2 linked regions of the Canis lupus familiaris genome follow. The protein of the gene in region 2 purifies or fractionates together with the protein of the main gene of each other region. This does not show direct contact. Links are inferred from orthologs where the notes say so. Each region holds a gene or a part of one and is shown on either strand. Other genes may lie near its edges.

Region 1 (10,494 bases), on a different chromosome or scaffold from region 2:
CTTAAGATTATTTGTTCCAACTCTGTGAAGAAAGTCCATGGTATTTTGATAGGTATTGCATTGAATATGTACATTGCCCTGGGTAGCATAGACATTTTCACAATATTTATTCTTCCAATCCATGAGCATCAATACTTTTCCTCAGTTTCTCTCAGAAGAGTTCTGTAGTTTTTAGGGTATAGATCCTTTACCTCTTTGGTTAGGTTTATTCCTAGATATCTTATGCTTTTGGGTGCAATTGTAAATGGGATTGACTCCTTAATTTCTCTTTCTTCAGTCTCAGTGTATAGAAATGCCACTGATTTCTGGGCATTGATTTTGTATCCTGCCACACTGCTGAATTGCTGTATGAGTTCTAGCAATCTTGGGGCAGAGTCGTTTGGGTTTTCTATGTACAGTATCATGTCATCTGCAAAGAGGGAGAGTTTGACTTCTTCTTGGCCAGTTTGAATGCCTTTTATTTCTATTTGTCTGATTGGTGAGACTGGGACGTCTAGAACTATGTTGACTAACAGTGGTGAGAATGGGCATGCCTGTCGTGTTCCTGATCTTAGGGGAAAGGCTCTCAGTTTTTCCCCATTGAGAATGATATTCTCTGTGGACTTTTCATAAAGGGTTTTTATGATATTGAGAAATGTTTCCTTTATCCCTACACTTTGAATAGTTTTGATCAGGAATGGATGCTGTATTTTGTCACATGCTTTGTCTGTATCTACTGAGAGGATCATGTGGTTCGTGTCTTTTCTTTTACTGATGTGATCTCACACATCAATAGTTCTACGAGTGTTCAACCACCCTTGCAGCCCGGGAATAAATCCCACATGGTCGTGGTGAATAATCCTCTTTATGTACTGTTGGATCCTATTGGCTAGAATCTTAGAATTTTAACATCCATGTTCATCAGGGATATTAATCTGTAATTCTCCTTTCTGGTGGGGTCTTTGTCTGGTTTGGGGATCAAGGTAATGCTGACCTCATAGAATGAATTTGGAAGTATTCCTTCCATTTCTATCTTTTGAAATAGCCATAGTGGAATAAGTATTATTTCTTCTTTAAATGTTTGGTAGAATAACAATCAGCATTTTGAAGGTATCTTTGCAACTTGCCATGAGACCCACTGCCCATATATGATCACTTTGTCTAATACTGCAAGATGCTATGTAACTTGTGATTCATGGCTAGCCTCATTGCCCAGCTGACAGGCTGGCTCCTCTGAAGGGCAGCATAGGCCCTGGGGTTGACAATGTGGATTACCAGGTCAGGGAGATCTACATCTCTGCTCAGTGCCATCTCTTCAGACTGTGGAGGGACACTCCAGTTGTTTGAGTGTCCCCAGCTGTAAACTGTAAAGTCACTGACAGGGTTAAGTTGATGAATGCCTGTACAGAGCACATTTCTTCCAGGAGTTATTGGTGGTTGCTGATGTCACCAGAATGTCTGTAATGACTGAATGGGGAACTCATGCTGCTATGCATCGTACGTAATGTCAGGGTGAGAAAGGATGAATGGCAAATTTGCAAACCTGGGCATATTTAGGGAGAGATGTGTAGGAAGTATTTGGAAAACCTTTTTCAAAAGGACTTAAAAAGAAGTTTCTAGATCTAAGATGCATCCATCTCCCATCAAATACAACTATAATTTCATTATTTGAAATGACCTACACATGCTTGTGTTTGAGTCCATTTTCTCTCTGCAAAATGGGGATAATGCTATTGGCTACGTGTGATGATTAAGTGGAAACATATGGCACAGGATAGGCTCTTGCTAAATAGCATTCCATTCTGAGGGATGAGTTTCTGCTCATCACCAACACTGCTAACCTCTCCAACATTTAGAACACAAGTGAAAAATATTAAATGCAAAGAAAAAGTTTTTATTCTTTGATATATAAAACCAAGAAAACTTTAATGTGTAATACAACATAGTATTTTTGTTTTGTTTTGTTTTAAAAAGAAAATGGCAGAAGATATGGTACAAAAATACACTGAAGCAGCTGTTCCAAGAAATTCAGAATCCCTAAAATTATGAACAACAGCATACAAGTCTGAGGAGGCTTCTTTTTTTTTTCTTTAAAAAATTATTCACATTTACTTAATTTAAAACATGGTAAGAAATATAACGTTCCTTCTTGGTAACAGATCCAGTTACTCAACAAGATATTCAATAACCAGCAATAACTTAGTAAAAGAACATTTCATTTCTGATAGTAAGTAGCACTAGAGTTTTGGTTCTATACTTATTGTAGTAAGAAAAAACCCACTTCTGACTGCTTAGGTGCCAAAAAAGATGCTCATACAGTTCACTGGAGCCCGTAAGTTTGGGTGCATTTGGACTCTCTGCCTAGACCTCAAAGGGAGAGCATCTCTGGTCCTCCCTTTGCTTAGGAATAAAACCAACAGTGATCCCGGTATACAAATAATAACATCAAACATAGGTGCAGGAGACCACAACTACTCAATAAAAGCTATTTCTGCCCAATAAATAGTTTCCAAAAGAAAATTAATTTGCTTTTACACTTAACGAATTCAGGAAAAATGGAGATGTTGACATAGGGTTTTCCCGTTTGTTAGCAGCAGGACAGTTCTGCCACCGACCAGCAGGGGTTGCTGTGCCACAGGAGAAGCATTGCCTGGAAAGGCATCCTAGAAAAATATTTTTACCTGTATTTATATGAAAGCTTTGTTTGGTCAGAGTTCTCGAAGTATAAGTGTAATATTTTCTCCTCGACAGTGGACTCAAACAAAATACACTTCATGTAAAACTGGGTCAAACATGAATAAATCTTTAAAATTACTGAATATATAAAATATTTCTGGAAGATCAAAAAGGAAGTGACAGTGAATTTAATGTGTTAAAAATAATTAATTTTCATGTGACTTGTAATTTAAAAACAGAGATAAGAGAAACTATACAACCAAATGACAGCTTTTAAAGGCGTATCTGGGGTTTGTGGTAGGTGGATCCATCCTTTCTGCTGACAATATTTCAAAAATTGCCCTCAATCAGTCTACAAGACTAGTTTTTATCTATATTGGCTTTTGGTCAGAGAAGTATTGCTGAGCATACAGTGCCATCCAGCAGAGGTGGCGTTTGCCCTCAGAGGCTGAAGACAAGCCGCCTCTGACCACCTGCAGGCACTGCCGGACTGTTTCACACCAGGTCTTTTTTCCAGGGATGTCTGAGAGTTCGACACCCACTGGGCTATCTGAAATAGAGCTGTAAATAATGTGAAAATTTGAGATTCATTGTTTATAGTCCTACCTGTTAAAGGTTTGGTATGTATTGTTAGAAACCAGTCTCTGCAAGTCAGCTGGAGCACAGTAAAAACAGTGCTGACTCGACAGGTTGTTTTTGCACAAGTCACGTTAAAAACACAAATTCGACTGTATTTAAAAAGTAATTTTAAAGCTTCATTTATAAAAGTATCTTTAAAAATTTCTGAATGAAATCTTTTCTGCACGCAGTCAGATCCTTTCTGCCATTTCGGGAAAGGGCCGGGACCGACCTCGGCAGGACGCAGACCGCAAATGAGTGCGTGTGATGTTCTACGCAAAAGTTCTGTAAAAATAGCATCTGTATTTTCTGTCGGCAGGTTTGAATAAAGCGAGCCCGGGGTGCGGGCCAGGAGGCGGGATGGACGAAGAGCCGGGTGGCGGGCTGCCGGGCGGCGCGGGCCTACAGCGTGACCGCCGGGCCGTGCTCCTCCACCGCCCCCGGGGGCAGCGGCAGGGCCAGGCTGTGGCGCGGGTCTGCGCGCAGCGAGCTGAGCAGCCGGTGCGCCGGGCCCTCCCTGCCCAGCCCGGGGCCTGCGCCGTTGACCCGCGCCTGGCTGCCCGGCGGGGGCGGCGGGGGCGGCGGGGGCAGCCTGGGCACCGGCCGCGGCCCCAGCACGCCCTCCAGCACCACGTCGGGCTCGTCGTCGCTGTCCACGTCGTCGGGCTGCAGGCGCAGCAGGGCGGGGGCCGCGGGCAGGCTGTGGCGGCTGGCCCCGCTGTCCGAGGAGCGGCCCGAGCCGCCCGCCACGCGGCTGCCGCGCACCACGTTGTTCCTCTGGTTGGCCGGCTTGACCGTGACGATGAGGTTGTGGCTGTTGGCGATCATCATGTCCGTGACCTGGTCCAGCGTCTTCCCCGCCACCTCGATGCCGTTCACCTCCAGGACCTCGTCATCCACGGCCAGCAACCCGGTGCTCTCGGCCAGGCCGCCGGGCACCATGCGCGAGATGAAGATGCCAGGCACCTTCTCCAGGCCCTGCGGGGCCACGCGCACGCTCGTGCCATCGCGGATGTAGAAACCCAGCGGCTTCTGGCAGCCGTGCCTGTACAGCCTCACGCGGCGGTGCGTCTCGGGCAAGATGTCCACGTCGATGATGGAGGACACCGGGCGGAAGTCGTGCGGCAGGCCGATGTGCAGGTGCGTCCGCCGGCGGGGGCCGTCCTCACGCAGTGCCAGTGCCTTCCTGCGGCGGGACAGCGAGCCAGCCCCGAAGCTGCCATGCTCGGCCTCCTCTGAAACAGCAGAGGGGACGATCAGGATGGGGCACAGTAGTGGAGGGTGGGGGCCCTGGGCCCGCCTCTCTGCTGCCCACCTGTTGGCTGGGCCCCGGGCTGCCAAACTCCCAGGCACTGAGCACCACAGTTACCTCTGGCTTCCATGGACTCCCAGGACTCTCACCCACATGCCTAGCAGGTCTCAGCCGCCAGGATGCTATGGAGGGACTTCCTGAGTTGTTTCACTGAGTCCGCAGTGATCCTGGCATCACTTGAGCTGGCCCAAGAGTTCAAGTCCAATCCCTAAAGTTAGCTCTCTGCAAATCTCCAGAACCACCCACAGGCAGTCGACAAAATGAATGAAAGGTGGAGAGGAAGAAACAAGAAACTGCAATAGATGGAAAGTTTAAGTGCCTGATTGGACTTTGGGAGGAGGGCAGCTCAGGGAGCGCCAGGACTCTCCCCGACCTCAGCGACCACTGCAGGGGCAGAATCTGGCTGATGGGACTATTTTGGGATAGTGGAGTCTGCTGAAGGATTCCAACTGTCCAGCAGAAGGAGCCAGTTCTGGTCTATTCTAGCTTGGAGCACAGGGGCAGCTACTCAGCCCTGCAGCAGGCAGCTGTGCATGTGTTTCAGGAGCCGCCTGCTGACGCCAGGTCAGCAGGAAGGACCCTTTCCTTCCAAGAGCAGAGTCTGTGCTCTGACTTCACAGGTGCAGATACAGAGGCTGCGGCCACTGCTGTCGCTGCTCTGGCTCCAGCTTGCGTGACTGCAATGGCACTGAGAGGGCGGGTGCCCCCTGATGCCCCTGTGGTTTCTCACTTTTCCCCTTTGGGGAGCCACACATTAGGACATTCAGAAACAGCTGCACACGTGGGAAATTAGGACGGATGGTGCCTGCCCAAGGGAAGGCTCAGAGAAGACCCCAGAAGACACTGAGCTTGCACCTTGGGCTGATCCTCAGCACAGAGGCAGCCTGCCACCATCCAAAGAATGATGACAACAAAACAGCAAAGCCTGGGAAAGGGGGGTGGGGAAGGGGAGTCTGATTTCCAGAGTCACCACATCAGGAGATTCGAATGTGCCATGTTCAGCCAAAAAATCACAAGGCACAGGGAGTTTGGCCCATTGAAAGGAAAAAGGGAATTCTACAGAATCTGTCCCTAAAAAAGACCTGATGTCAGATCTACTGGTCAGACATTAACATGAATGCCCTGAGACCGTGGGGCTGAGAGTAGAGGAGTCTGAGCTCACCTCCCCCCACGGACACACAAGGCATCCACCACACAGAAGGCAACTCAACCCGAGAACCTGAGGCTAGCAGGACAACTCTTCCACAGCCAAGGACAGAAAGAAAAAGCCACACCAAGAAGGGCAGGAGGGGCAAAGACAGGAAGCAAATTCCTGGCACATGACCCACATGCAGGATGGCTATCACAGTTGCAGAGGTCCTCCCTGAGGACTGATGGCATCAAACCCCCAGGGTGACCCTGTACGAGGAAGATGAGCCCTCCTGATGTCTAGCTTTGAAAATCAGCAAGGCTCAACCCCGGGAGCTTTGAAAACTAGTGGAGCCTAACTCCAGGAGAGCAGGGCTGCTTTTGGAAGGCTAGTGTACTGTATCACTTGGCTTCAGAGCCAGTACAGAGGCAGCAGTCTGAGAAGTGCCTGGAGTATACGTAAGGGAAACTTACTGACAGATTTTAGGGCATGTGTTGCAGGGGCAGGAATCTGCAGGTGCTTTCTTTGGGAATGGAAGTGCTGATGGACACTACTGTTTTGCCCTCTTTCAGCCTAGCTGGCCAGGCACCACTACTGGCACTCTCCATCTAACGTGCTGGTCCTGCTTGCCTGGCCTTGGCAGGCACTCCTCCATCTGCCACACCCAGGGGGTAGCCCCAGCTGGGACGGACACTGCTGCACAGGGACTCCTGGCCCCAGGATGGGGGACAGCTCCCCCTACCAACATACTCCCAGCAGCCCACCCAGGGGACAACCCTGAAGCACATGCTTCTGATGACCAGAGGGGACTATGGCCCCAAAAGACATCTTTTGTGTGAGTCTATCACTTCAAGACCAGGAGACATAGCTGATGGATCTAATACATAGAAATAAACACAGAATCAGACAAAACCTCCGAAAAGGACCTAAGGAAATGAAGATAAACCACCTTCCTACTTGATAAAGAATTCAAAGTAATGGTCATAAAGATACCCACCAGACTTGAAAAAAAGAGTAGATGAACTCTGAGAACTTTAGTAATGAGAGAGTATTAAAAAAGTTGAATCCAATAAGTATAATGAAAATTATATCAGAGAAAACAAATAGCAGATTTGAGGATGCAGAATGGATCAATCAATGGTCTGGAAGACAGTCATGGAAAGCACCCATGCTGAACAACAACAAAAGGAAAAAATTAAATGATGAGACAGGTTAAGGGCTAAGTGTTTAAGATTCATGGGACAGGGGTCTTAGAGGGAGAGGAGATAGAGAAAGGTATAGAAAACCTATTTGAAGAAATAATAACTGAAAACTTCCCTAACCTGAAGAAGGAAAGGGATCTAGGTCCAGGAAACAGAGAGATCCCCAAAAAGATGAACCCAAGGAGTTACATACCAAGACATATGATAATTAGAATGTCAATGTTAAACAGAGAATCTTAAAAGCAAGCAAGAGAAAAGCTACTAGCTACGTAAAAAGGAAAGCCTATTAGACTGTCAGTTGATATTTCAGCAGAAACTTTGCAGGGAGGAGTAATAGGTTATAGTCAAAGTGCTGAAAGGAAAAAACCCTACAAGAAGAACATTCTGTCCAGCAGGGCTATCATTCAGTACTGAAGGAGAGATGGAGTTTCCCTGACAAACAAAAATTAAGAATTCCTAACTACTAAGCTGGCCTTATAAGAAACATTAAAGGGACTTCTATAAGTGGAAAAGAGAAGGCCATAACTAGAAGTACAAAAATTATGAAAGGGAAAAATTTCACAGATAAAAAGCAAAAACATAGTAAATGTAGTATAATTAATATACTCATTAAGAGTTACAAAACTAGTATGAATATTAACAAGCAAAAGTGGTAAAATAAATTATATCTATAAAACTTGGGGATACACAAAATAAAGTAAAATACATCATGTCCATAAATTATTTTTTAGAGTGCTTTTGACTTAATATAGATTGCTGTATATATGCTATACATATATCATGAATCTCATGATAACCACAAGCCAAAAACCAATAAATAGATACACAAAAAATAGAGAGGAATCCAAGCATAACACTGAAGAAAGTCATCAAATCACAAGGGAAGAGAACAAGAGAAGAAGAGAGGAACAGAATTATATCAGAAAACAGTGAACAAAATGGCAATAATTACATAACCTATTGATAATTTAATGCTCCAATCAAAAGACATGGGGTAAATGGATCTATAAACAAGATCCATCTATATGCTGTCTGTAAGAGACTCACCTTAGATCTAAAGACATACACAGATAAAAAGAGAAGGGATGGAAAAAGATATTCCATGCTAATGAAGAAAAAAAAAAAAGCAACTGGGATAGCAATACTTATATTGAACAGACTAGACTTTGAAATAAAGACTATAACGAGACAAAGAAGGGCATCGCATAATGATAAAAGGACCAGTCCAACAAGAGGATATAACAATCACAAACATGCATGCAACCTGAAGCAACTAAATACATAAAGCAACTACCAACATTCTAAAGGGATAAACTAATAATAATAGTAGGAGACTTTAGCACTTCACTTGCATCAATGGATAGATATTCCAGACAGAAAAATCAATAAAGAAACAGTGGCTGTAAATGACACATTAGACCAGATGGACCTAACAGATATATGTAGAACATTCCATCCCAAAGCAAAAGAATATACATTCTTATCAACCACATGTGGTGCATACTCCAGGACAGATCATATTTGGTCACAAAACAAGTCTCAATAAATTTAAGAAGATTGAAATCATATCAAGCACCTTTTGTGACCACAATGGTATTACTAGAAATCAAATGCAAGAAAATGGAAGAAGCCACACACATGTCAAGGCTAAGTAACATGCTACAAAGGATCAACAAAGAAATCAAGCGAAATAAAAGTTCCTGGAGACAAATGAAAATGGAAACACAGTAGTTGAAATTCTTTAGGATGCAGCACAAGCAGTTCTAAGAGGGAAGTTTATAGATACGCCTACCTCAAGAAACAAGAAAAGTCTCAATCTAACCTTACACCTAAAAAAGACTATTAAAAAACCTAAAGCCCAAAGTTAGCAAAGGAAGTAATAAAAGATCAGAGTGAAAATAAATGAAGTAGAGACCAAAAAGATAATAGAAAAGATCAATGAGGGGGTCCCTGGGTGCCTCAGCGGTTTAGCGCCTGCCTTCGACCCAGGGCATGATCCTGGAGATCCAGGATCGAGTCCCACATCGGGCCCCCTGCATGGAGCCTGCTTCTCCTTCTGCCTGTGTCTCTGCCTCTCTCTCTGTCTCGCATGAATAAGTAAAGTCTTTTTGAAAAAAAAAGATCAATAAAACTAAGAGCTGGTTCTTTGATAAGATTTAAAAAATCGATAAACCTTTAGCCAGACTCATTAAGAAGAAAAGACGACTCATGTAAATAAAATCAGAAATGAGAGAATTTAAAACTGACATCACAGAAATCCAAAAAATTACAAGAGATTGCTATGGAAAATTATATACCAACAAATTGGACAACCTAGAAGAAATGGATAAATTCCTAGAATCTTCAAAGACTGAATCAGGAAGAAATAGAAAATCTGAACAGACTGCTACTAATGAAACTGAATTGATAATCAAAACCCTGGAAAAAAAAAAGTGCAGGGCCAGATGGCACAGGTGAATTCCACTAAACATGTAAAGAAGAGCTAAAACCTGTCCTTCACAAGCTCTTCCAAAAAATAGAAGAGGAAGGAAAACTTCAAAATTCATTCTTCAAGGCCAGCATTACCCTAATGCCAAAACCAAAGACACTACAAAAAAAGAAAATCAGAGACCAATGTCTCTGATGAACATAGATGTGAAAATATTCAACAAAATATTAGCAAACCAAATCAACAACACATTAAAAGGATCAAGTGGGATTCATTTCAGAGATGCATGGAAGGTTTGGGATCTGCAAATCAATCAATATGATGACCACATTAGCAAAATGAAGGATAAAAATCCTATGATCACCTTAATGGATGCAGAAAAAGCATTTGGCAAAGTCCAACATCTGCTTATGATAAAAATTCTCAACAAAGTGGGTGTAGGGAATATACCTCAACATATTAAAGGCTATATATGACAACCCACAGCTTACATTATACTCAATAGTGAAAAGCTGAAAGCTTTTCCTCTAAGATCAGAAATAAGTCAAGGGTGTCCACTTACCAGATTCATTCAACATGGTACTGGAGGTCTCAGATGGAGCAGTCAGACCAAAAAATGAAGTAAGGGGCATCCAAATTGTGAAGGAAGAAGTAAAACTATCACTATTTGCAGACTACAAGATAATATATATAGAAAACCCTAAGGACTCCACAAAAAAACTATTAGAATAAATGAATTCAATAAAGTTGCAAGATACAAAATCAATATGCAGGAATCTATCAGGTTTTTATACACTAATAACAAACTAGCAGGAAGGGAAATTAAGAAAATAATCCCATTTACAGTTGCAGCACAAAGAATAAAAAACCTAGGCAAAAACTTAGCCAAGAAGGTGAAATACCTATACACTGACAACTCTAAGACACTGATGAAAGAAACTGAAGAAGACACAAATGAATAAATGAAAGATATTCCATGCTCATTGATAGGAAGAATTAATATTGTTAAAATGTCCATACTACCTAAAACAATCTATAGGTTCAATGCAATCCCTATTAAAATTCCAATGGCATTTTTCACAGAAATAGAACAAACAACCCTAAAATTTGTATGGAATCCCAAAAGACCCCAAATAGCCAAAGCAATCTT
Region 2 (9,542 bases):
CATGCTCCCTCCCTCCCTCTCTCCCAGCCCTACCACTAGCCAGGGTCCCTTGCCTGGGTTAAGGTGCTGTGCGATTTTACAGACTCTTTTAATCCTTACTATCTGTAGGGTAGGCTCTATGATTATGCTCTGTTTTATAGATGACTAAAACCATAGCACAAGAGTGACGTCATCTACCCAAGGTCACACAGTGGGTCACAGGCAAAGTGACACAGTGTTTGGGGACTGGGTCTACCTGCCTGACTTCCAAGTCTAAGTAAGCACTAAGTGTCCCACCTGTCAGTGCCGAAGACCCTCAGATCCCAGTCTCTAGACCACGTGTCCAGCTGCCCTTGGAACACCAGCAAGGCCTTGGAGTCAGCAGTGATCTCTGTCACTCACTCACCTTCTCCATCTGGCAGAGGTCCTTGTCACCTCTACTCTTGGTATCCCCACCTGCTGCTACCATCACCCCTCCCTGGACAGAAGCTGCAAGGACCTCCAGCTTCTCTCTGTGCCAGCCCAGCTTCCATTAATCCACTTTCTAGACAGTGCCAAACCCTTCCATTTGTGCATGCCTATCAATAAAAATTGTTGATCTCATACTCCTGATAGGGGAAGGTTTTTCTAGAACTGAAATAGGTGAGCCACCGACAGTAGCTGATACTTCACAGCACAAAGTACTTAAGGCAAAGCTCAGCCTCAGTGAGCATGGATGTAAATCCAATCCATGTTCAGAGTGGATATTTTCAGGTGTGTGTGTGTGTGTGTGTGTGTGTGTGTGTGGCGCTGGGTGGCTTCTGTTCAGTGGAGCTGGATCATTGCTGTGGCTATGAGGCTCTCTGTGCCATGGAAGTGTTTGGGTCTGTTGTTTTCTGACATGTTGGTGCTTGTGTTATTACCATGGTCTTCAATTCTTGGTTTCTTTGGGAGGAAACTTCATGTCACTTGTCCACTTGTGTGAGTTAATTTAGCTAACTGGACAAAAACAAGCAGTAAGCCCTTCTAAACCAGTAGTCAGAAAAGCACATGAGTCCCCATAGACTGTGTGTGTGTGTGTCTGTGTGGCTGTCCAGCTCTCTGGGGTGTCATGTTCTCACTCCCTCCTTGGCACCCACTTTTGGAGCATAACCCTCTGACCCCCAGACTGAGGACCCAGTGCCAACTCTATAAGGTGTAAACAGCAGAGTTTAATTTCTTTTATGATAAAAATAAAGATCCTGTGCAAAAAAAAAAAAAAAAAAAAAAAAAGATCCTGTGCAGGGAAGCGGTAACATGCTCTCTGTGACCCTGACAGAGGGTCATGAACCCGTGAACTTCGTGGACTCCCTTGAACCTCACAACAGGTCCTGAGCAGGTACTATCATTATTCCAATCCCCAGAAGAAGCTGGGACGCACAGCAGGTAGGCAATTTGCCTGAGGTCACAGAGTGGAACTCGCTGGGATTTATGCCACGGTGATCTTTGGAAGCATAAATTTCACAGGGAAATTCCCTGCTTAAGGGAAGCATCTGAGATGCTTCCAGAGTCTCAGAATCAAGTCCAGACTGTCTGGCTGGGTGTGTAGCAGTCCCCTCCTGTCTGTAGCTCTGTCTCTGTATCTACCCAGAATCCCTTCTCCACTACTTCTAGGACCATGGTCTGGGCCCCTCTTCCTTTTGAGGGACTGTTCCTCCTCATTCCTTGTGGCTTTTGGGACTATCTCAGTAAGCGCCACCCCCACTTCCAAGGAGAACAGGGGCCACTGGAGTGGCCCAAGTTAAATAGCCCAGAGACTTTTGAGCTGCACATGCTTGCCTGGAGGGTGCTAGGGAGGACGTTCCCACAGCGCATCCATCCTGGGACCTGGACCTTGGCTCCTCCTCTGCCTTGTGCACCAATCCATGTCCTTTTCTAACAGCCCCAGAGGTGGGCTCCTGTGCCACACAGCAGTGCCCCTGCCCTCGCCAGGCTCCAGGGGCAGGGGGTCCCAATCTGGCCCCAGTCACGTGGTAGTCTTGTTTTCAGAACACTTCCTGACCACCCCCTTCAGTTTTTTTTGTTTTTTTAAGATTTTATTTATTCATGAGAGACACAGAGAGTGAGGCACAGACATAAGCAGAGGGAGAAGCAGGCTCCCTGTAAGGAGCCTGATGTAGGACTTGATGCCAGACCAGGAATCGTGCCCTGAGCTTTGGGGCTCAACTGCTGAGCCACCCAGGCGTTCCCACCCCCTACCCCTGCCAGCTCTGGACCCACCAGCTCCCAAGGCAAGCTGCTGGCTCCTGTCTTCTGTGGAGCACCCTCTCTGGTCATGTTCCTGCCCCAGCTTACTGTCACCCCCGGACTGCCTGCATCTTAAGACTTCCTGCCCTTGTTAGGACGGTGAGCCCCACAAGGCAGGGACCCCATGTGCCTGGCATATAGTAGATGCTCACCAAAGACAGGTAAATGAAGTAGAATCAAGTAGACCAACCCCCGGGGCAGCCTGGATGGCTCAGTGGTTTAGTGCCACCTTCAGCCCAGGGTGTGATCCTGGAGATCCAGGATTGAGTCCCCCATCGGGCTCCCTGCATGGAGCCTGCTTCTCCCTCTGCCTGTGTCTCTGCCTCTCTCTCTCTGTCTCTCATGAATAAATAAAATATATATATATATATATATATATAAAGTAGACCAACCCCCCTGGTTTATAAGGACCAGAACAGCTATCTGATCCAGCTGTTCATCTGAGGGTAAGACCTTTCATCTCTGGGCACAGTCTCTGACCTCAGCAGCAGCTCCCAGCCCTTCCCTGAAGTCTGGAAGAAGGCAACAGGTCTGAAAATACGGTGCGCGTCTTCCCCTTCTGACAGCAAGGAAAGGCCAGTCAAACCCTTCTGCCTCGACCCAGGGATGCACAGTCATGCAGACTCGCGATGGTTAACTCTTGCCATTCATTCCCAAACACAGAAGTGTAGTGTCCAGATACAACCAAGCTCAGTTTGCTCTGACTCAAATGTCTTAAAAAGAGAGATTCTCGGGAGTACTGGTCTGGTCCAGTAACTGCACCCCAGGGGCAGAGGCAAGGGACTGGCTAACCGTTGTTTCCGTAGAAAATTTCTGCATAATTAAAAGAATTAGTCATTGGACCAGTCTGGTGAAGAGGTAATGTGTTTATTAAAAATTATTTTTCCACCCAGAGGCAGTTAAAATTTATAATTTAAAACCCAGCCCACTACAAAAAGGGGAGGGAGTAAAAACTGTGCAACATTGACAAAAGAATCAACAGAGACAAGGCCCAGGAGGGGCAGCCCCGTGGCCCTAGGCCCCCGCCTCTCCCGAGGCCAAGAGCAGCAGCAGGAGGGTGGACATGGGGCTCCGCTCCAGCCCTGGGCATGGCCCGGTGTCCAGTCCTCCCTGGGGTGGGGGTGGGGTTTAGGGGAGGGCAGGGCCCCAGGGAGAGCCCTCAGTAGTGTGTGTTCACGGTGTAGCTTGGACTCACAACCTGTTCACTCCGCTGTGGAAGTAGATAGAACAATGACAACTCAGGAGTCTCTTGGGTGGGCCCAGAGGCCTCGGTCACCCACCCTGAGCCTAGACACACAGCTTTTCAGGACCCCCGGGGGCATGTATGGGCTCTTCCTCCTACCCCCTCTCACCCCAGGCCAGCAGGCATACCCTCCCAGTTGCCCCCAGCCCTGTAGCAGTGCCCAGAGCCCCTACCTCCCCCATTGCTGAGGCTGTACCCCACGGTCACTCGCTGAGAACGCCAATCGCCATAGCTCCTGAAGGGCAAAGACAGGGCAGTCACCATCCATGGGGACCACTGGGAGGCCAGACGAGGCCCATCATTTCCTGAGATCTCTTGGAGCCCCCGGACCCAGCCCTGCAGGCCCCAACAGTAACTCACCCTCGGTCTCCCTCCAGTGTGCTCTGGATTTCCTTCAGGACCCCTGCAGGGTTGGGGAACAGAGGCGCTGTGAAGCCCACAGATGCTGAGCCGGACACGAATGTTTCGCCCCCTTTTACTGGCAGGGTGTTGGGCAGGTCTGCCTCCCACAGGGTAATGGCCCTCAGTTCCACCCTGGCCTTCCAAGCCTCCCTTGGAACATCCCTCAAGCCAGCCCACCAACTCCTGCCCCAACTCACTCTCGTCATTGAGCAGGGCGTGCTCCATCACTGGACCAGGCCTTTTCTCTGAAAGGCAGAGGCTGAGTCAAGCAAGCCTTGGGGCCCCTTCGGCCCCAGCTCCCTCTTTACTGAAGTGGGAGTGCTGGAGCCCAGAGCTCAGGACTGGAGGGGATGCCGTTTCTTCGCTTAGCCCAAACACATCTGCAGGCCTGGGGTTCCTCTCCTTCCCCTTCGGTCTGGGTCTGGGCCCAAGTCTCACACTGCCTCTGTCCCCCCGCACCCCTGGCCACAGGGAAGCCTGTCTTACCCTCTCCATCACTCTGGCTCCCTGAGTTCCTGTGGGGAGAGAGATGGTGAGGACTGGAGTGAGGGGGGCAGCTAGGCTCCCCCCCCCCCCCAATTCCAGCTCAGAAAGCTCTGATCCCATGAAGAATGAAGTCAACTGACCGGGCCCACCCTGAGCCAGAACCAAGCCCTGCCGGGGATAGCAGCTTGCATGGGAGGGGCCTACGAAGGGGGGTGGTGAGCCAGAGCCAGGAGGGTGGGGAGCTCACAGGAGAGGGGGGTCTCAGCGAGGCACCCTCAGGCCACCCGCCTTTTTACCAACCTGGCTTGGCCCAAGGCCTTCTCTGGGCCTGATCCGTTGCGAGGGCGGCTGTGGCTCTTGGCTTCTGCTGACTCCACCAGGCAGCGGGGCTCAACCAGCCACTTGGTGGAGAGAGAGAAGCGCTCAAACTCTGAGGGTGAGATCAAGTAGAAACCTGGGGGGAGGAGAGGCCTGGCAGGTGAGGCCAGCCCGTGGCTCCTGGGCCCGGCTGTCGACAGGACTTCCCTCCCAGGAGGAATTGGGGGCTGGGGCCTCCCTCCAAGTTCTCGGCTGAGGTAAGTCCAGCCTGGCCCTGGCTGCGACAGCCCTGGCTGTCATCGCTGCGGCCCCGCCACACCTGCCCGGTGCCCACCTTGGCCGTATTTGGTGAAGACGCAGGAGGCGATGCCACTGACATCTTCCCGGCGAATGCAGCTGTACCGCACCTGGGGCTTGAGCAGGGGCAGCGAGACCACCTGCACGTCGCCCAGGTTGGTGAGGACGGCCAGGTGATGCTCCCCGTAGTCCTCGGCTCGACGGCTGCTGAAGTGGGCCACGCTGACCCGCCGCACCCGCGAGCCCTCCAGAGCGGTCAGCTTCAGCTTCAGCTTGGCACTCACCTTGGGCAGCGTGAACACCTGAGGGCACAGAACAGCTTGAACCCTGGCCAGACCATGGCGCCCTGCTTCCCAGCAGATGCCCCTGCCCTGCCCTGATTCCCAGCAAAGTCTGCTCAAGCTCTGTGCCTCTCTGCCCAGTGCTCGGCCACGCAGCCACTGCACCTGGACTGCGAGGAGGCCTGGGCTACTTCTTTCCATGTCTGTTTCTGTCCCTCCTATGGACACAGGTCCTGTTTCAGTGTCCTCCTGCTGACGCCGGGGCCCCGGACTCTACCCCTCTCCCTTTCTGTGCCTTGGTGACATCTCACATCAACTGCAGATCCAACTTCAAGTGGACCCCAGCCACTGTCATTGTGCCCAGGATCTGAGCTCCCCAGATGTCCCCCGGACTCCCTGAGGTTCCTGGTTCTACCCAAGCAACACCTTGAATTGCTCCTCTGACACCACAAGCAGCTGGTGGCTTCCCTGCATGTCGGGGCTCTTTGACAGGTCATGTGCCACCTCCAGGGGCTCAGGAAGGGGCACGCTATGTCCGTCCAGCACCAGGATGCCCACCACGGGTGCTCGGTGCATCAGCTGGATCTCCTTGGCTACAGGGCAAGAGGCAGATGGCGGGTGATAGTCAGGCGGGGGGCAAGGCCAGAGATACCACCCCAGCCTGAGCCTCAGCAGATGAGCACCCTCTGCTCTCCCCACTGCCCAGCACTCACCCTGCTCTGCCCGCACGGGCTCGTCCATTCTCCGCTCGGCGGGGGGCACGCGCAGGGCAAAGGCGTAGACGGCACCCCCATTGGTGCCAGCCCACAGAGAGGGGCAGTGGCGGGAGCCTGCCAGGAGGCAAAGGTTTATATCTAACCCAAGGCTCTGGGGGTCAGGTAGAGCCAGGTGACCTGAGCTTGCATCCTTGCCTCGCCACTCACTACCTGGGTGACTCTGAGGTCAAGCCTCTGTTTCCTCCTCTGTAAGACAGAATGGCTGTGGATCCTGCCTAACCCCCTGGGGTGTAGACAGAAGCCAGAAGGGCTGTCTGACAACCAAGGGCCCCAAGCACAGATGATCTCAAACCCAGGACAGCTCAACCCTCAAGACACAGCACTGGATATCCCCATGCCACCCTTGCCCTGGTGGGAGGCCAGCAGGGGAGCTTCTGCAGGGCCCACTGGATGCCAGCAGGCATTTTGCGGGGGCAGAAGCTGAGACCCAGATTAAGGGACGTGTCTAAGGTCACACTTCCAGAGAGTGGGGGAGCCTGAGTATGTAGCTGGGGCAAGCTCCCTTAGAGACCCAAGCAGGGGAAAGAAAGAGGCAGGCGGAGGATCTGGTCTCCCCATGCTCCAAGCCTGGTCCTTTTAGCCAGGCCAGGTGGCAGCCCCCAATATGACCTCAGGCCAAGGAGTGCTCTCCTGGGACCCCCCACCTCAGGCTGGCCACTCACTGTCCCTCAGATAGGTGTCAGCGAAGTAGAGGGTCCGGACAAAGCCCGTGAAGGAGTCCTCTGCTGAGCGAGCTTCAATTTTCCGCTGCACGGGTGCCAGCTCCATATTCTGCACACCCACCCGCTCGGCCCTGGCGCTCCCCTCCTGCACCTGCAGTGGGTCGGGTGGGGCCTGAGTGGGAGGGGTACTCTGGCCTCCCCTTCCTGGGGATATCAGATTGCCCCACACCAATCCTTCCAGAAGATGATGACAGGCCACTGCCCATGCCACCACCTGTCCAATGACATTTACTGAGGACTTAACCCTTTACATTTGGGGAAGATGAGGCACAGGTCACTTGGCTGGTGGGCAGTGAGGCAGGACACGAAGCTACTGGTGGGGCCCAGAGCCTGTCCTGGCAGCCAAAGCAGCTGGGGGATGGAGGCCTAGTCTGGACCCGCTGCTGGCTGCTCTGAGCTCTCCCCAGGCTCAGCCTCACCTCTCCAGGGGGACCAGCTGGCCGCCGCTTCCGGCTGGACACTCGGCTCCGACGAATCCGGCGGAAGGACTGGCGCAGGGATTTCTTTAGGGACTTCACTCGGGACAGCGGGCCCTCCAAAGCTAGCTGGTCACTAGGGTGCAGCGTGCATCTGGGGGGGGGGGGGGGCGCATCAGGGCATCAGTGCTGCCAGGGCCCAGGGGTCATCGCCCACTGGCAACCCTAGGTTCAGGCCTCGGCCACCCCGGGCACGCTGCTTACTTGACAAAGACTTGCCGCCGCTGCTGGTGGTCAAAGAGGCCAAAACCATGGCTTGTGCCGAAGGCCACAAGCCGCCACTCAGAGTGCAAGGCCAAGGAGGTGACCACAGCCGGGGGCTGGCACTGCACCAACACAAAGGGCTGGAAGCCAGGCTCGAAATGCACGGGCCCTGGGCGGGCACACAGGCGCTCGTGCCCCTTCCAGCGGTAGCCCTCCTGGTCCTGCAGCAGGTCGGCCTCCACCTGCTCCACAGCATGCTCTGCTTCCTCATCATTCAGCTCAAGCACCAGCACCTGGGGGAGACGGCAGGTGGGCTGAGCAACCCCAGCACCAAGGGACAGCACAGGGACCCTGTGTGTGGACAGTAAAGGACCTGGGACTCATGCCAAGTCCCAGGGCCCAAGGAGAGCCAGAAGGCCTCTGCCCCATCCCTGGCCCTTGATCTTGGTTTTTGGAGGAGAAACAATCACCTCACAGGTCTGTCCCAGGGGACCAGGCAACCTCTATCCATTGGGAAAAGCCCAGAGCCCAGAGGAGCAGGTGATGGTCTGGTGACACCATCAGTGGGTGCTCAGGAGATGGGCCCCTGTCCTTCCTGCTCTACGACCCCGGGCCGCTACCCAAAGTCACCTGACTATTCCTCCTAGCAGCACCCCCTGAGCCCAGCCCAGCCTGCTACCTGCCCTGCCGTGCCTGCCACAGCCAGGTAGCCACTGTATTTGCAGAGGAAAATCTTCTGGATGCCCAGCCTAGGATCATCACTGTAGGGGTCGAAGGAGCCCACCTGCCAATGGAGAGGTCCATGGGGGGCTGTAAGTGCCAGACCCAGCCTGTCCTTGCCCACCCTAGTTTCCAGGCTCTTGGCCTTACCTTGCGGAGTGGGGGCCACTCATCCTCACCCTGGGCATTGAGGTTATCATTGGGGTCTGTGTCGGTGAGGAACACCCGGACCGTGCTCAGTTTGTACAGCAGTCGTAAGCAGACACCGGAGGCGTCCCAGAACCGCACTGTGCCATCCTCGTGCCTGTGGACAGAGTCCACCTGCCAGTCATGAGAGATGCCAGGCCAGGGGTGCCCGAGAGGCCTCGGGCTGGCATGCACCCCTCTGGGCTCTGCTCCCACCCCGTGTATTCTACTCAGCAGAAGGAGAGTGCTGTGAGAGTCGCCTACCCTGTGAGCAGCAGGTCCCTCTGGGGAGGGGCTGGGGCCAGACTGGTACCACCATCAATGGGCCACTCCTAAAGAATGAGACCAAGAAGTCCATGGGAGAGCTTGGCCCGAGGTGGGGCAGGGCTGGTGCCGGACCTACCATGGTGGAGAAGTGTGTCTGCTGCTGGTTGCCTGCAGCAACGATCCGCTCCCACAGCTTCAGGGGGATGTTGGAGACGTGGTGGGAGCAGGTGATGGCGGAGCAGTGCAGGGAGGCCAGGTAGGGAGGCTGGATTGGCGGCCAACCAGCTGTCTGCAGGTCAATCACCACCAGCTCCTCCTCGGCCAGCACCACCAGGGCATAGGGGTTGTCAAAGGCTGGGGGGACAGACAGGCAGAGGGTCAGGGGCTGCAGGAGCCACAGTCTGCCCCAGCCCAGCCCTGCGGAATCTGAAGCCCTGAGGCTGCAGTCAGGGAATGTGCATCTTAAAAACAAGCTCCAAATCCAGCAATGAACAGAGAAAATTATACACCACGACCAAGCGAGATTTATCCCAGGCGGGTAAGGCTGCCATTTCATGTGAAAATCAGTTCATGGAACCCAGCACATCAATAGGCTAAAGAAAAATACGTGATCATATCGATATAGGCAAAGTATTTAACAAAACCTAACACCGTTTATGATAAAGGAAAAAAACCCTCAATAAATTAGGAAGAGGAGAACTTCCTCAACTTGGTAAAGACCATGAAGAAGCCACAGCTTGTGTAACTTAACAGTGAGAAATGCGAAGCTTTCCCACTAAGATCAAGAATAAGGCAGGTGCCCCCTCTCTCTGCTTCCTTTTACAAGTCCTGGCTGATGCAGTAAGACAAGGAAATAAAGGTTTAGATCTGGAAAGAAGAAAGAACACTGTCTTTGTTCACAGATGATGTGATCAGCTCTG

What was found.
Region 1: the proteins of LLGL2 (region 2) and PARD6G purify together in Homo sapiens (affinity purification with mass spectrometry; 4 studies listed by BioGRID and IntAct, counting the BioPlex papers as one, with this or other methods). This does not show direct contact. The link is inferred for Canis lupus familiaris from reciprocal best matches to the Homo sapiens genes LLGL2 and PARD6G.

What each region holds. Positions count from the first base shown.
Region 1 is NC_049222.1:527,369-537,862, reverse strand, and holds the end of PARD6G (partitioning defective 6 homolog gamma), read right to left. Parts: intron 4,509-10,494; coding exon 3,676-4,508; 3' UTR 1,853-3,675; downstream 1-1,852. UniProt on the Homo sapiens protein: Adapter protein involved in asymmetrical cell division and cell polarization processes. May play a role in the formation of epithelial tight junctions. The PARD6-PARD3 complex links GTP-bound Rho small GTPases to atypical protein kinase C proteins.
Region 2 is NC_049230.1:5,852,846-5,862,387, forward strand, and holds the end of LLGL2 (LLGL scribble cell polarity complex component 2), read right to left. Parts: intron 8,977-9,542; coding exon 8,759-8,976; intron 8,688-8,758; coding exon 8,620-8,687; intron 8,474-8,619; coding exon 8,320-8,473; intron 8,234-8,319; coding exon 8,129-8,233; intron 7,743-8,128; coding exon 7,450-7,742; intron 7,340-7,449; coding exon 7,189-7,339; intron 6,861-7,188; coding exon 6,710-6,860; intron 6,102-6,709; coding exon 5,985-6,101; intron 5,865-5,984; coding exon 5,698-5,864; intron 5,293-5,697; coding exon 5,028-5,292; intron 4,830-5,027; coding exon 4,676-4,829; intron 4,405-4,675; coding exon 4,376-4,404; intron 4,135-4,375; coding exon 4,087-4,134; intron 3,891-4,086; coding exon 3,848-3,890; intron 3,723-3,847; coding exon 3,661-3,722; intron 3,455-3,660; coding exon 3,447-3,454; 3' UTR 3,093-3,446; downstream 1-3,092. UniProt on the Homo sapiens protein: Part of a complex with GPSM2/LGN, PRKCI/aPKC and PARD6B/Par-6, which may ensure the correct organization and orientation of bipolar spindles for normal cell division.